Linked DNA regions of Anolis sagrei. The protein of the gene in region 3 purifies or fractionates together with the protein of the main gene of each other region. This does not show direct contact. Links are inferred from orthologs where the notes say so. Each region holds a gene or a part of one and is shown on either strand. Other genes may lie near its edges. The genes, in order: EIF3A, USP11 and EIF4B.

The links.
Region 1: the proteins of EIF4B (region 3) and EIF3A purify together in Homo sapiens (co-immunoprecipitation; 3 studies listed by BioGRID and IntAct, with this or other methods). This does not show direct contact. The link is inferred for Anolis sagrei from reciprocal best matches to the Homo sapiens genes EIF4B and EIF3A.
Region 2: the proteins of EIF4B (region 3) and USP11 purify together in Homo sapiens (affinity purification with western blotting; 3 studies listed by BioGRID, with this or other methods). This does not show direct contact. The link is inferred for Anolis sagrei from reciprocal best matches to the Homo sapiens genes EIF4B and USP11.

The regions. Positions count from the first base shown.
Region 1 is NC_090023.1:202,542,396-202,546,146, forward strand, and holds the start of EIF3A (eukaryotic translation initiation factor 3 subunit A), read left to right. Parts: upstream 1-1,194; 5' UTR 1,195-1,301; coding exon 1,302-1,350; intron 1,351-3,751. UniProt on the Homo sapiens protein: RNA-binding component of the eukaryotic translation initiation factor 3 (eIF-3) complex, which is required for several steps in the initiation of protein synthesis.
Region 2 is NC_090022.1:193,156,421-193,160,171, reverse strand, and holds the start of USP11 (ubiquitin carboxyl-terminal hydrolase 11), read left to right. Parts: upstream 1-1,199; 5' UTR 1,200-1,280; coding exon 1,281-1,390; intron 1,391-3,751.
Region 3 is NC_090022.1:183,596,769-183,600,519, forward strand, and holds the start of EIF4B (eukaryotic translation initiation factor 4B), read left to right. Parts: upstream 1-1,142; 5' UTR 1,143-1,214; coding exon 1,215-1,227; intron 1,228-3,751. UniProt on the Homo sapiens protein: Required for the binding of mRNA to ribosomes. Functions in close association with EIF4-F and EIF4-A. Binds near the 5'-terminal cap of mRNA in presence of EIF-4F and ATP.

The DNA.
Region 1 (3,751 bases), on a different chromosome or scaffold from region 3:
AGTTTAAAAGGTTGGGTGAGAGTATGCAGCCTTGCCGTACGCCTTTCCCAATCTTGAACCAGTCTGTTGTTCCGTGGTCAGTTCTTACTGTTGCTACTTGGTCCTTGTACAGATTCCTCAGGAGAGAGACAAGGTGGCTTGGTATGCCCATCCCACCAAGAACTTGCCACAATTTATTATGATCCACACAGTCAAAGGCTTTAGAATAGTCAATGAAGCAGAAGTAGATGTTTTTCTGAAACTCCCTGCCTTTCTCCATTATCCAGCGGATATTGGCAATCTGGTCTCTCGTTCCTCTGCCTTTTCTAAACCCAGCTTGAACATCTGGCAACTCTCGCTCCATGTATTGCTGGAGTCTTCCTTGCAGGATCTTGAGCATTACCTTACTGGCATGAGAAATAAGGGCCACTGTACGGAAGTTGGAGCAGTCTTTCGCATTTCCCTTTTTTGGTATGGGGATATAAGTTGATTTTTTCCAGTCTGATGGCCATTCTTGTGTTTTCCATATTTGCTGGCAAATGGCATGCATCACCTTGACAGCATCATCTTTTAAGATTTTAAACAGTTCAGCTGGGATCCCGTCTCAGTACTTTGATCCCGTCTGAGTACTTTGGCCACATCATGAGGAGACAGGAAAGCCTAGAGAAGACAATGATGCTGGGGAAAGTGGAAGGCAAAAGGAAGAGGGGCCGACCAAGGGCAAGATGGATGGATGGCATCCTTGAAGTGACTGGACTGACCTTGAGGGAGCTGGGGGTGGTAATGGTCGACAGGGAGCTCTGGCGTGGGCTGGTCCATGAGGTCACGAAGAGTCGGAGACGACTGAACGAATGAACAACAACATTATATTGCATTACATTATCACATTAGTATTACATTGTATTATATTTCATCAGATCCTACACCAAAATAGGGCCTGCATCCGATTAAACAAGACTGACTACAAACAAGACGAGAGCTGGCCTCGAACCCACGACTGATGGGGCCAAAGCGACATCAGTGCTCATTTCAAGAGAAAAGGGCAACCCTCTATTGCTCCACTTCGCAGAGTTCTTTCCGACGCATGCGTACTTCTAACTTGCCTTCATCTTTCTCTCTCTCTCTCTCTCTCTCTCTCTCTCTCTCTCTCTCTCCCCCCCCCCCCCTTCTCTCGCGCAGGGAGCCGCGTTCGCTTCCGGACACGTCCGTGCGCGCGGCGGGGTCACGTGACGCCGTCTCTTTCCGGCCTCGCTTGCTGCTTGGCGGTGCGCTCCTTGAGGCTTCTTGCCGCGTGAGGAGGAGGAGAAGCACAGGCCGCCATCATGCCGGTCTACTTCCAGCGGCCCGAGAACGCCCTGAAGCGGGCGAACGGTGAGTGCGAGGCTCCTAGGCCGCTTCGGGTCTGGCGGAGGGCGCCGCCATCTCCTTTCCTGCCCCGTGCCCCGCCTGGCTAGGCTTCGTGAGGCCCGTAATGGAGGCCGAGGCCTAGGCGCGTGTGGAAGGAGGGAGGAAGCGCTCTCCCTCGTTGCCCTGGCCAGTTCCTCGCATGTCCGCCGGCCTTTCAGGGTTGCTTGCCCTCGTGTTTCTTCCCTGCTTTCCCCGACTGATGCCTTCGGGAAGGCTGTGGAGGGGAGGACTGCCAGTGAGAGGAATACACGTTGAGTGTCCCTTTCCCGAAATACTTGGGATTAGAAGTGTACCACATTTCGACACCCCCCCCCCCCCCGATTATGGAATATTTGCATATACATAATGAGATGGAACCCAAGTCTAAATACAAAATTCATTTATGTTTCACATGCACTTTATACATTCAGCCTGAAGGTAATTTTATACACAATATGTGACATAATCTGGCGATGGGACCCAAGTTTAAATAAAAAATGCATTTGTTTCAAATGCACTTTATACATATGTCTTGAAAGTAATTTTATAAACAATATATGAAATAATCTAGTGATGGAAATCAAGTCAAAATACAAAATGCATTTATGTTATGTATGCGCTTTATACAGATGTCTTAAAGGTAATTATATACACAAGATGTCAAATAATCTGGTGTTGGGACCCGAGTCTAAATACAAAATTCCTTTATGTTTCACAAGCACTTTATCCATATAGCCTGAAGGTAATTTTATACACAATATATGACATAATCTGACAATGGGAATCAAGTCTAAATACAAAATACATTTATATTCCATATGCACTTTATACATATATCTTAAAGGTAATTTTTTACACAAGACATCAAATAATCTGGTGTTGGGACTCAAGTCTACATACAAAATTCATTTGCCTCATATGGACTTGACACATATAACTGGAGGGTCATTTTATACACTGTATGTGAAATACTTTTGTATACATTCAGCCACCAGAAAACAAATGTGTCACTTTCTCAGCCCACCCATATGGACAGTTTCAGTATTTGGAGCATTTCGGAATTGTGGATAAGATGATGCTCAATTTGTAATTTGCTCTAACAATGGAGATAATAAAACCTTCTTTTCTTGCACCCTTTGTGTGTTGTTACATTGACAGTAATTTACACAGTGAAGCAAAAATGCCCTTTTTGCTCCTCATGGACTTCATGACAAAGCAAAAACCTTTGTTGTATGTTTTGAGCCGCTGGTGGTGCAGTGGGTTAAACCGCTGAGCTGCTGAACTTGCTGAATGGAAGGTTGGTGGTTTGAATCTGGGGAGCAGGATGAGCTCCCACTGTAAGCCCCAACTTCTGCTGACCTAGCCATTTGAAAACATGCAGATGTGAGTAGATCCGTAGGTACTGCTTCGGCAGGAAGACAACGGTGCTCCATGCAGTCATGACAGACACATGACTTTGGAGGCGTCTATGGACAATGCCGGTTCTTTGACTTAAAAATGGAGACAATTACCAGCCTCCAGAGTTGGACATGACTAGACTTAATGTCAAGGGGAAACCTTTACCTTTTACCTTTACTTTCCACATACTGAGATTCTGGTCACCTTACAAAACATTTATATCTCCTCGCTTAATTTTTTGTTGAAATGAATCATTGTAGAAGTGTCCTTCCTTTTTGAATATTGTATATAACAACTTGTGCAGTTGTGGTATGGAAGATACCAAGGACAGAAATATTGCTTAATTCCTTTTCCATTTTAAAATATTTGAATTCAGACAAGGCATTTAAAGACTGAAAAGTGTGGGGTTGGCTGTTCTTAAGCACAAGTAAATTGCGTTTATACGCATTTTAACGTTTATAGCATATGCACTCCTAAGCACATAAAACAAATAATGAATCAGGAACTGTCCTTGGTTTCCACTGAAAGTCAGCCATTGGACTCAGATGTGCAAAACTTGTACAGAGTAGTAGAATTAGTCACAGGTCATCTTTATCAAAGTTACTATAATAAATGTAGCATTATTTCATGATATCCATTAAGTTCAGAGATGGTATCTTTTGTTGCCCCCTTTCCCCTGTTTTGAGTCTTTTATGTGGTGAACTGACAATTCCAGTAGCACAACTCATCGGGAGGAAATAAACACACACTTTTAAACTTCGTTTAATAAAGAAAATTGCTGGCAAAACCAGTTCTGTGTGCTAGGGCTGCCAGGAGTATAAAAAGCTTCATGCTCAATATGTTTGAACACATTTGGATGAAGCAGGCTATACTGAGTCACTATAACGTAGTGCTGTTTTGTTAATAATCTTAAATAAGGCAATACGTATAACCAGAGTAATGTCACGATTTGAGTGTTGAACTACTAAGACACCCCTTACACACAGCT
Region 2 (3,751 bases), about 9.6 Mb from region 3:
GTAGTTGATTAAATGTCCTTTGACTAGTAGCTGGCCACTTGGAGTGCCTCTGGTGTTACTATAAGAACGTCCTCCATTGCGAATGTAGCAGGGCTCAGGTTCTTTAGATAATTGACTTCAACAAGCCAGTATGGCTATGTGCCCTTACTAAAGATGGCAGATGAAGGGCTGAAGCCTCCCTTAGATAACTTACTTCACCAAGCCTGTCTGGCTGTGTGCCCTTACTAAAGATGGTGAATGAAGGCCTGGAGCTTTCCTTAGATAATTAACTTCACTAAGCATGTCTGGCTTATGCGCCCTTACTAAAGATGGAGGATAAAGGCCCAAAGCCTCCCTTAGATCAATGGTTGTCAACCTGTAGGTCCCCAGGTGTTCCCCACAGGTTGAAAACCACTACCTTAGATAATTCACTTCACCAAGCCTGTCTGGTTAAGCGCCCTTCCTAAAGATGGCGGATAAAGTCCCGAAAGCCTTCCTTAGATGGGTTGTTGTAGGTTTTTCCGGGCTATATGGCCATGTTCTGGAGGCAATTTTTCTCCTGACGTTTCGCCTGCATCTATGGCAAGCATCCTCAGAGGTAGTGAGGTCTGTTGGAAGTAGGAAACATGGGTTTATATATCTGTGGAATGACCAGGGTGAGACAAAGGACCCCTGTCTGCTGGGGCTAGCTGTGAATGTTTCAGCTGATCACCTTGATTTGCATTCAATGGCCTGGAAGCGCCTGGGGGAAATCTCTTGTTGAGAGTGATTTTATGTGCCTGTTTGTTTCCCCTCTGTTGTTTTGCTGTTGTAGATGGTTTACTTCATCAAGCCTGTCTGGCTATGTGCCCTTACTAAAGATGGCAGATAAAGGCCTGATAATTAACTTCAACAAGCCTGTCTAGCGATGCGCCCTTATTAAAGATGGCGGAAAAAGACCTGAAGTATCTTCCCTGCCAGGTGCCAAAGCTGAGGGAACAGAAGTTACCCAAAATACAGGGTGACATCGTTTTGTAATTCCTATTTCAACCAGTTCCCAGCTTTTTTAAATTTTCTTTTCAGGGTTTAAGAATGTTTAAGATAACCTCTTGATTTAGGTTTAGTTTCATTGGCCAACCAAGATGGCGCCCGTGGGCGGGGATAGCCCTACCCAACATGGCGGCGTCGGCCTCTTCCGCCCGGAGTTGCCACACCTATCACGGCCGGGCGGAAGCCGGTGGGCGGGGCCCCGAGGAGCCGGGAGTCGCGGCTTGGGAAAGAAGGCGCCCTCAGTTGCTGGCTTCCGGGCTGGATGGTGGGCGATGGCGGCCGAGCGGGGGCTGCCGGGTCTGGAGGCCCAGAGGCGGCAGGTCGAGGGGGAAGGCCCCACCCAGCCGGGCCTGGAGCGGCCCCTCCGAGCCGGGGAGAAGTGGTAAGCGGGGAGCGAGGCTGAGGAAGGGAGCAAGGCCTTTCCCGGAGTGTCCTCTGAGCAGACTGCGCCTCCCAGCAGGGCCATGGCAGTGGAAGGCAACATCCGAGCGCTGGAACAATGACCCTGGGCATTCAGGACAATTGCCTCCTCCTTTGGAAAGAGGAAACACTGGGAATGCATCTGGGCAGCAAGCAACAAGGCATGGGCAAGCTTTGGCCCTGCAGGTGTTTTGGACTATAACTCCCACAATTCCTAACAGCCTCAGGCCCCTTCCTTTTCCCTCTCAGCCGCTTAAGCGGCTGAGAGGGAAAAGGAAAGGGCCTGAGGCTGTTAGGAATTGTGGGAGTTGTAGTCCAAAACACCTGCAGGGCCAATGCTTGCCCTTGCCTAGTCTCCACTCTACCTAATGCAGTTTGAGCCCACTTTCACTGCCTTAGCTCAATGCCTTGGACTCTCTGGAGTTGTAATTTCACAAGATCTCTCGCTTTCTCTGCAAAGGAGACAGAAAACCTCACCACATAATGTAATGATGGGATATTTCTGTATTGCAGTGTTTCTCAAACTTCCTAATGCCATGACCCCTTAATACAGTTCCTCATGTTGTGGTGACCCTCAACCATAACATTTCATGACTGCTACTGTTGCTACTGTTATGAAAAATAATGTAAATATCTAATATGCGGGATGTATTTTCATTCAGTGGACCAAATTTGGCACAAATACTTGATACACCCAAATTTGAATACTTGTGGGATTAGGAGAGGGGAGGTAATTTTGTCATATGGGAGTTGTAGTTGCTGGGATTTATAGTTCACCTACAATCAAAGAGCATTCTGATGGAATTGAACCAAACTTGGCACACATATGCCCAAATGCAAACAGTGGTGGGGTTTGGGGAAAATAGGCCTTGACATTTGGGAGTTGTAGTTGCTGGGATTTATAGTTCACCTACAATCAAAGAGCATTCAGAACCCCACCAATAATACAATAGGACCAAACATCCCACACAGAACCCCCATGATGAACAGAAAATAATGTTTTCTGATGGTCTTTGGCAACCCCTCTGACACCCCCTCATGATCCCTCTGGGGGTCCCGACCCCCAGGTTGAGAAACACTGCTGTATTGCCTTTCTCCAAGGACACAAGGCGGTTTACAACCATTGTTAAAATATAAAATAACCCATTAAAATAATCCCAGAATCATTGCCCTGATTCCACAGCATAGAGCCATGGCCATGAGAGTGGGGTCAAGCTGCATTCACTCATCTGTCTAGAGCAGTAGTTCTCAACCTGTGGGTCCCAAGATGTTTTGGCCTTCAACTCCTAGAAATCCTAACAGTTTGTAAACTTGCTGGGATTTCTGGGAGTTGTAGGCCAAAACACTTGGGGACCCATAGGTTGAGAACCACTGATCTAGAGGTCCTCCCAGTTGGAGTCGGTGAGGGCCCTGCCACACAGGCCTAGATCCCAGAATATCAAGGCAGAAAATCCCACAGTATCTTAGTATGGACTCAGATAACCCAGTTCAAAGCAGACATTGTGGGATTTTCTCCCTTGATATTCTGGGATATAGGGCTGTGTGGAAGGGCCCTGAGTTCACACTGCCCTATATTCCAGTTCAAATAAGATACTGTGGAGTTTTCTGCCTTGATATTCTGGGATATTTCTGCCGACCTAGCAGTTCGAAAACATGCAAATGTGAGTAGATCAATAGGTACCGCTCCGGTGGGAAGGTAACGGTGCTCCATGCAGTCATGCCGGCCACATGACCTTGGAGGTGTCTACGGAAAACACTGGCTCTTCGGCTTAGAAATGGGGATGAGCACCACACCCCAGAGTCAGACATGACTGGACTTAATGTCAGGGGACTACCTTTACCTTATTCTGGGATATAGTGCTGTGTGGAAGGGCCCTGTGTCCACACTGCCCTATATTCCAGTTCAAACCAGATATTGTGGGATTTTCTGCCTTGATATTCTGGGATATAGGGCTGCATGGAAGGGCCCTGTGTTTTATTCCTGAGTTCAATATAACTGTCTACTTCCTGCCTTCGCCATTCTTGCTTAGCTGTTGAACTTGAGGGGGTTTATTTTTGGATAGGGAGCCATTGAGATCATGGGCCCTCCCAGACAGGACCTATATCCCAGCATCTGATCCCAGGTTTTCTGTTTATCCCAGATTATCTGACAGTGGGGACTCATATAATGCAGTTTAAAGCAGAAAACCTGGGGTCAGATTCTGGGATATAGGGCCTGTCAGGAAGGGCCTGTTGTTTGAGTTTTGGACTACTCCAGGCATCCTCAATCTGCAGCCCTCCAGTTTGAGCCCGCTTCTACACAGCTGTATAAAATACACATTGA
Region 3 (3,751 bases):
GTTCAACTCATGTCAACCACTTCCACCAAGTCTGGCCTCCTTAATGAGAGCATTCAACACACACACACACAACTTGGTTGCTACAATACATCGGCTATTGCTGCAAGTAATGACAGTGTAAATAAATTGCCAATATTTGCTTGAGATAGTGCTTACAGTTCTGGAGAGACTCTTAATTTTTTGCATCTCATAGACTTAGCATGGGGATTTGGTTAACCAGTTAAAATTCATGAGTAAACCAGGTCTTTTAAAAAATCTGAAACATTTCGGGGGGGGGGGGGTTGAACCCCTAAAACCACCCCCTCGCTACAGGCCTGGTCAGGAGCGACTTGAGAAACTGCAAGTTGCTTCTGGTGTGAGAGAATTGGCCGTCTGCAAGGACGTTGCCCAGGGGACGCCCGGATGATTTGAGCTTTCAGCACTTTTAATCCTGTACCCACTACTCTGGCCGGCCCAGTTTTAGTAATTGTCTGATGTATTGTTACTGTTTTGTTTACTTGCTTAACTGTTTTAATTTGCTTTGTATTGTTATGCTGTATTGTTGTTCTGTGGCTTCGGCCTGTTGTAAGCCGCATCGAGTCCCTTGGGAGATGCTAGCGGGGTACAAATAAAGTAATAATAATAATAATAATAATAATGTTGTTATCATCCTTGTGGGAGGCTTCTCTCATGTCCCCGTATGAGGAGCTGGAGCTGATAGAGGGACCTCATCCGCCTCTCCCCGGATTCGAACCTGCGACCTGTCGGTCTTCAGTCCTGCTGGCACATCTAGAGGTGACCAAAGGGTTATCTGAGTCCACACAGCCATATATTCCAGTTCAAAGCAGAACATGTGGGGTTTTATTAAGCTGCGTGGAAGGAGCCTAAAAGGCTCAAGGTCACCCATGACGTTTCACAGGGAGACTGGGCCTTAGCACGACGCCTCTTTCTCCTCCCAACTCCTTCTGTCTGGATTCGCCTTTCGAAACCCTCCCTCCAGTTCCTCTGCCGCTTCTCTGCCCGCCCGCTTACGTTCTATCCCCTCCTTGCCGTCTGCAAACCGCAGAATCAAGCAACCAACCCGCCCAGTTTGCTTCCCCTCCCACCCCGCGCCCTTTTTTTTTGTTATTGACGCATCCGCCCCCCTGAGGAGGAGGAGAAGAGGAGGTGCCTCTTTCGCTATAGTCACGTGACAGCTGCATCCGGGCCTTTTGCCTTCTCTCCCTCTTCCCAACATGGCGGCCTCAGGTGAGTGGTGTCTCGGTGGCGCATGGGCCTGCGGCTCGAGCGGCCGGTCTGACCCTTTTACGACGCTGGGAGGGAAACGGGGCGCCTCAAGGGAGGGCAGGCGGCTTCGCTTCGGCGGCCACCTTGGAGCCTGGGTCCACTGGTGTGGCTCCAATCGCACCGGCGCGGCCTTGGCTGCCCTCGCTGCGGCGCGCGCTCCCAGAGAGAGAGAGAGAGAGAGAGAGACAGCGCGCGAGGCGAGGGCCTTGGACTGGGATGAGGGAGTGGGGGAGGGGCGGCAGGGGAGCGGGCTGATGGAACCTTCGGCCGCGCGCCAGTGCGCAAGCGCGAGGGCGCGCGGCAGGGCGCGGGCGAGGTGGGGAGGGGGAAGGGAAGGACCTGGGCGGCACCCACGTGGGCCCAGCTCTTTGCTGACTCCCCACAGTCTGGCGTTAGGGGCGGGGCGTGGGTGGGACACGTCGCGTGGGAGCCTACGCCCCGCCTCCCAGACGGGCGTGAGGTGGGTCCACGTCCCTCCTGGTGCTTTATTTTTTTCCCCCCACCACCTTTTCTCTTCCCTTTCCCCATTTGATGTTTGGGTCATCTCTCGCCTAGACTGTGAGGTCATAGAATTACAGGCCTGAATCTTCCAGTTGAAACCAAGTTTGCTCAGGTGTCAGTGCAAAGTACTCTTGCAAGGGACCCTTCCACACAGTCCAGAATATCAAGGCAGAAAATCCCACAATATCTGAGTATGAACTAAGATAACCCAGTTCAAAGCAGATATTGTGGGATTTCCTTCCTTGATGTGTAGGGCTGTGTGAAAGGGTTCTTACAAGGTTACTTCCCTCATTTAAAAAATAATAATCAGTGGAAACTTCTCCCTTATGCACATTCCTGACGCTCAGATTGTAGTGGAAGTGGCTTCTTGTTGTAATGGAGAAAGTCAATATAAAGCTATAAATGTATTTACACATATTAATAGCCAAGCCATTTTTATTCATAGAATCATAGAATCAAAGAGTTGGAAGAGACCTCATGGGCCATCCAGTCCAACCCCATTCTGCCAAGAAGCAGGAATATTGCATTCAAATCACCCCTGACAGATGGCCATCCAGCCTCTGTTTAAAAGCTTCCAAAGAAGGAGCCTCCACCACACTCCGGGGCAGAGAGTTCCACTGCTGAACGGCACTCACAGTCAGGAAGTTCTTCCTCATGTTCAGATGGAATCTCCTCTCTTGTAGTTTGAAGCCATTGTTTCTCGTCCTAGTCTCCAAGGAAGCAGAAAACAAGCTTGCTCCCTCCTCCCTGTGGCTTCCTCTCACATATTTATACATATGTCACTAGACCTATGGGTCACTAAACATAGTGATACATAGGTCACTAAAGGGGAGTTCACCAAAATACTGTTGGTTGACTTAAGACCCTTCCACTTAGCCACATAACCCGGAATATCAAGGCAGAAAATACCACAGTATGTGCTTTGAACTGGGTTATCTGAGTCCACACTCGGATAATGTGGGATTTTCTGCCTTGATATTTTGGGATATAGGGCTGTGTGGAAAGGCCCAGAGAGAAGTGCCCCAAGACAGGCTTCTTTGATTAGGATGGGAAAGAGTGGTGAGGTTTGGCATCTTCTATATAATGCGAGGAAATATGTTACAGGAAATAGGTTGGAGACCCCTGTGGCGCAGTGGGTTAAACCGCTGAGCTGCTGAGCTTGTTGACTAAAAGGTTGCAGGTTCGAATCCGGGGAGTGGCATGAGCTTCCGCTTTCAGCCCCAGTTTCTGTCAACCTAGCAGTTTGAAAACATGCAAATGTGAGTAGATCAGTAGGTACCGCTCCGGCGGGAAGGTAACGGCTCTCCATGCAGTCATGCCGGCCACATGACCTTGGAGGTGTCTCCGGACAATGCCGGCTCTTTGGCTTAGAAATAGAGAATAGCACCACCTCCCAGAGTCGGACACGACTGGACTTCATGGAAAACCTTTACCTATATTACAGGGAGAGAGGGAGATCTAGGTTTTTGTTGTGAGTCTTAATAGGTGTCTTAGGTTCATCCCATCTTTTTTCTTAGGACCCTTCCACACAGCCATAAAACCCAGAATATCAAAGCAGAAAATCCCATAATATCTGTTTTGAACTGGGTTTTCTAAGTCCTCACTGCCATATAATTCAGTTCAAAGCAGATAATGTCAGAAATTAGACAGCTATGTGGAAGGGGCCTTAGGGTGCATCAGCAGCATGCATCCACAAACTGCAGCCCTCAAGCTCTTTGGGCTTCCAGCTCTCAAGAATTCCTGACAATTGAATAAGCTGACAAGGGCATCTGGGAAGTGGAGGTCCAAACAGCTGGAGAGCCGCAGTTTGAGGGCCCTTCCAGATAGGCTCAATATCCCAGGATCTGATTCCAGTTTTTCTGTTTATTCCAGATTATCTGGCAATGGGAACTCAGGGCCCTTCCACACAGACCTATATCCCAGAATATCAAGGCAGAAAATCCCACAATATCTGTTTTGAACTGGGTTATTTGAGTCCACACTC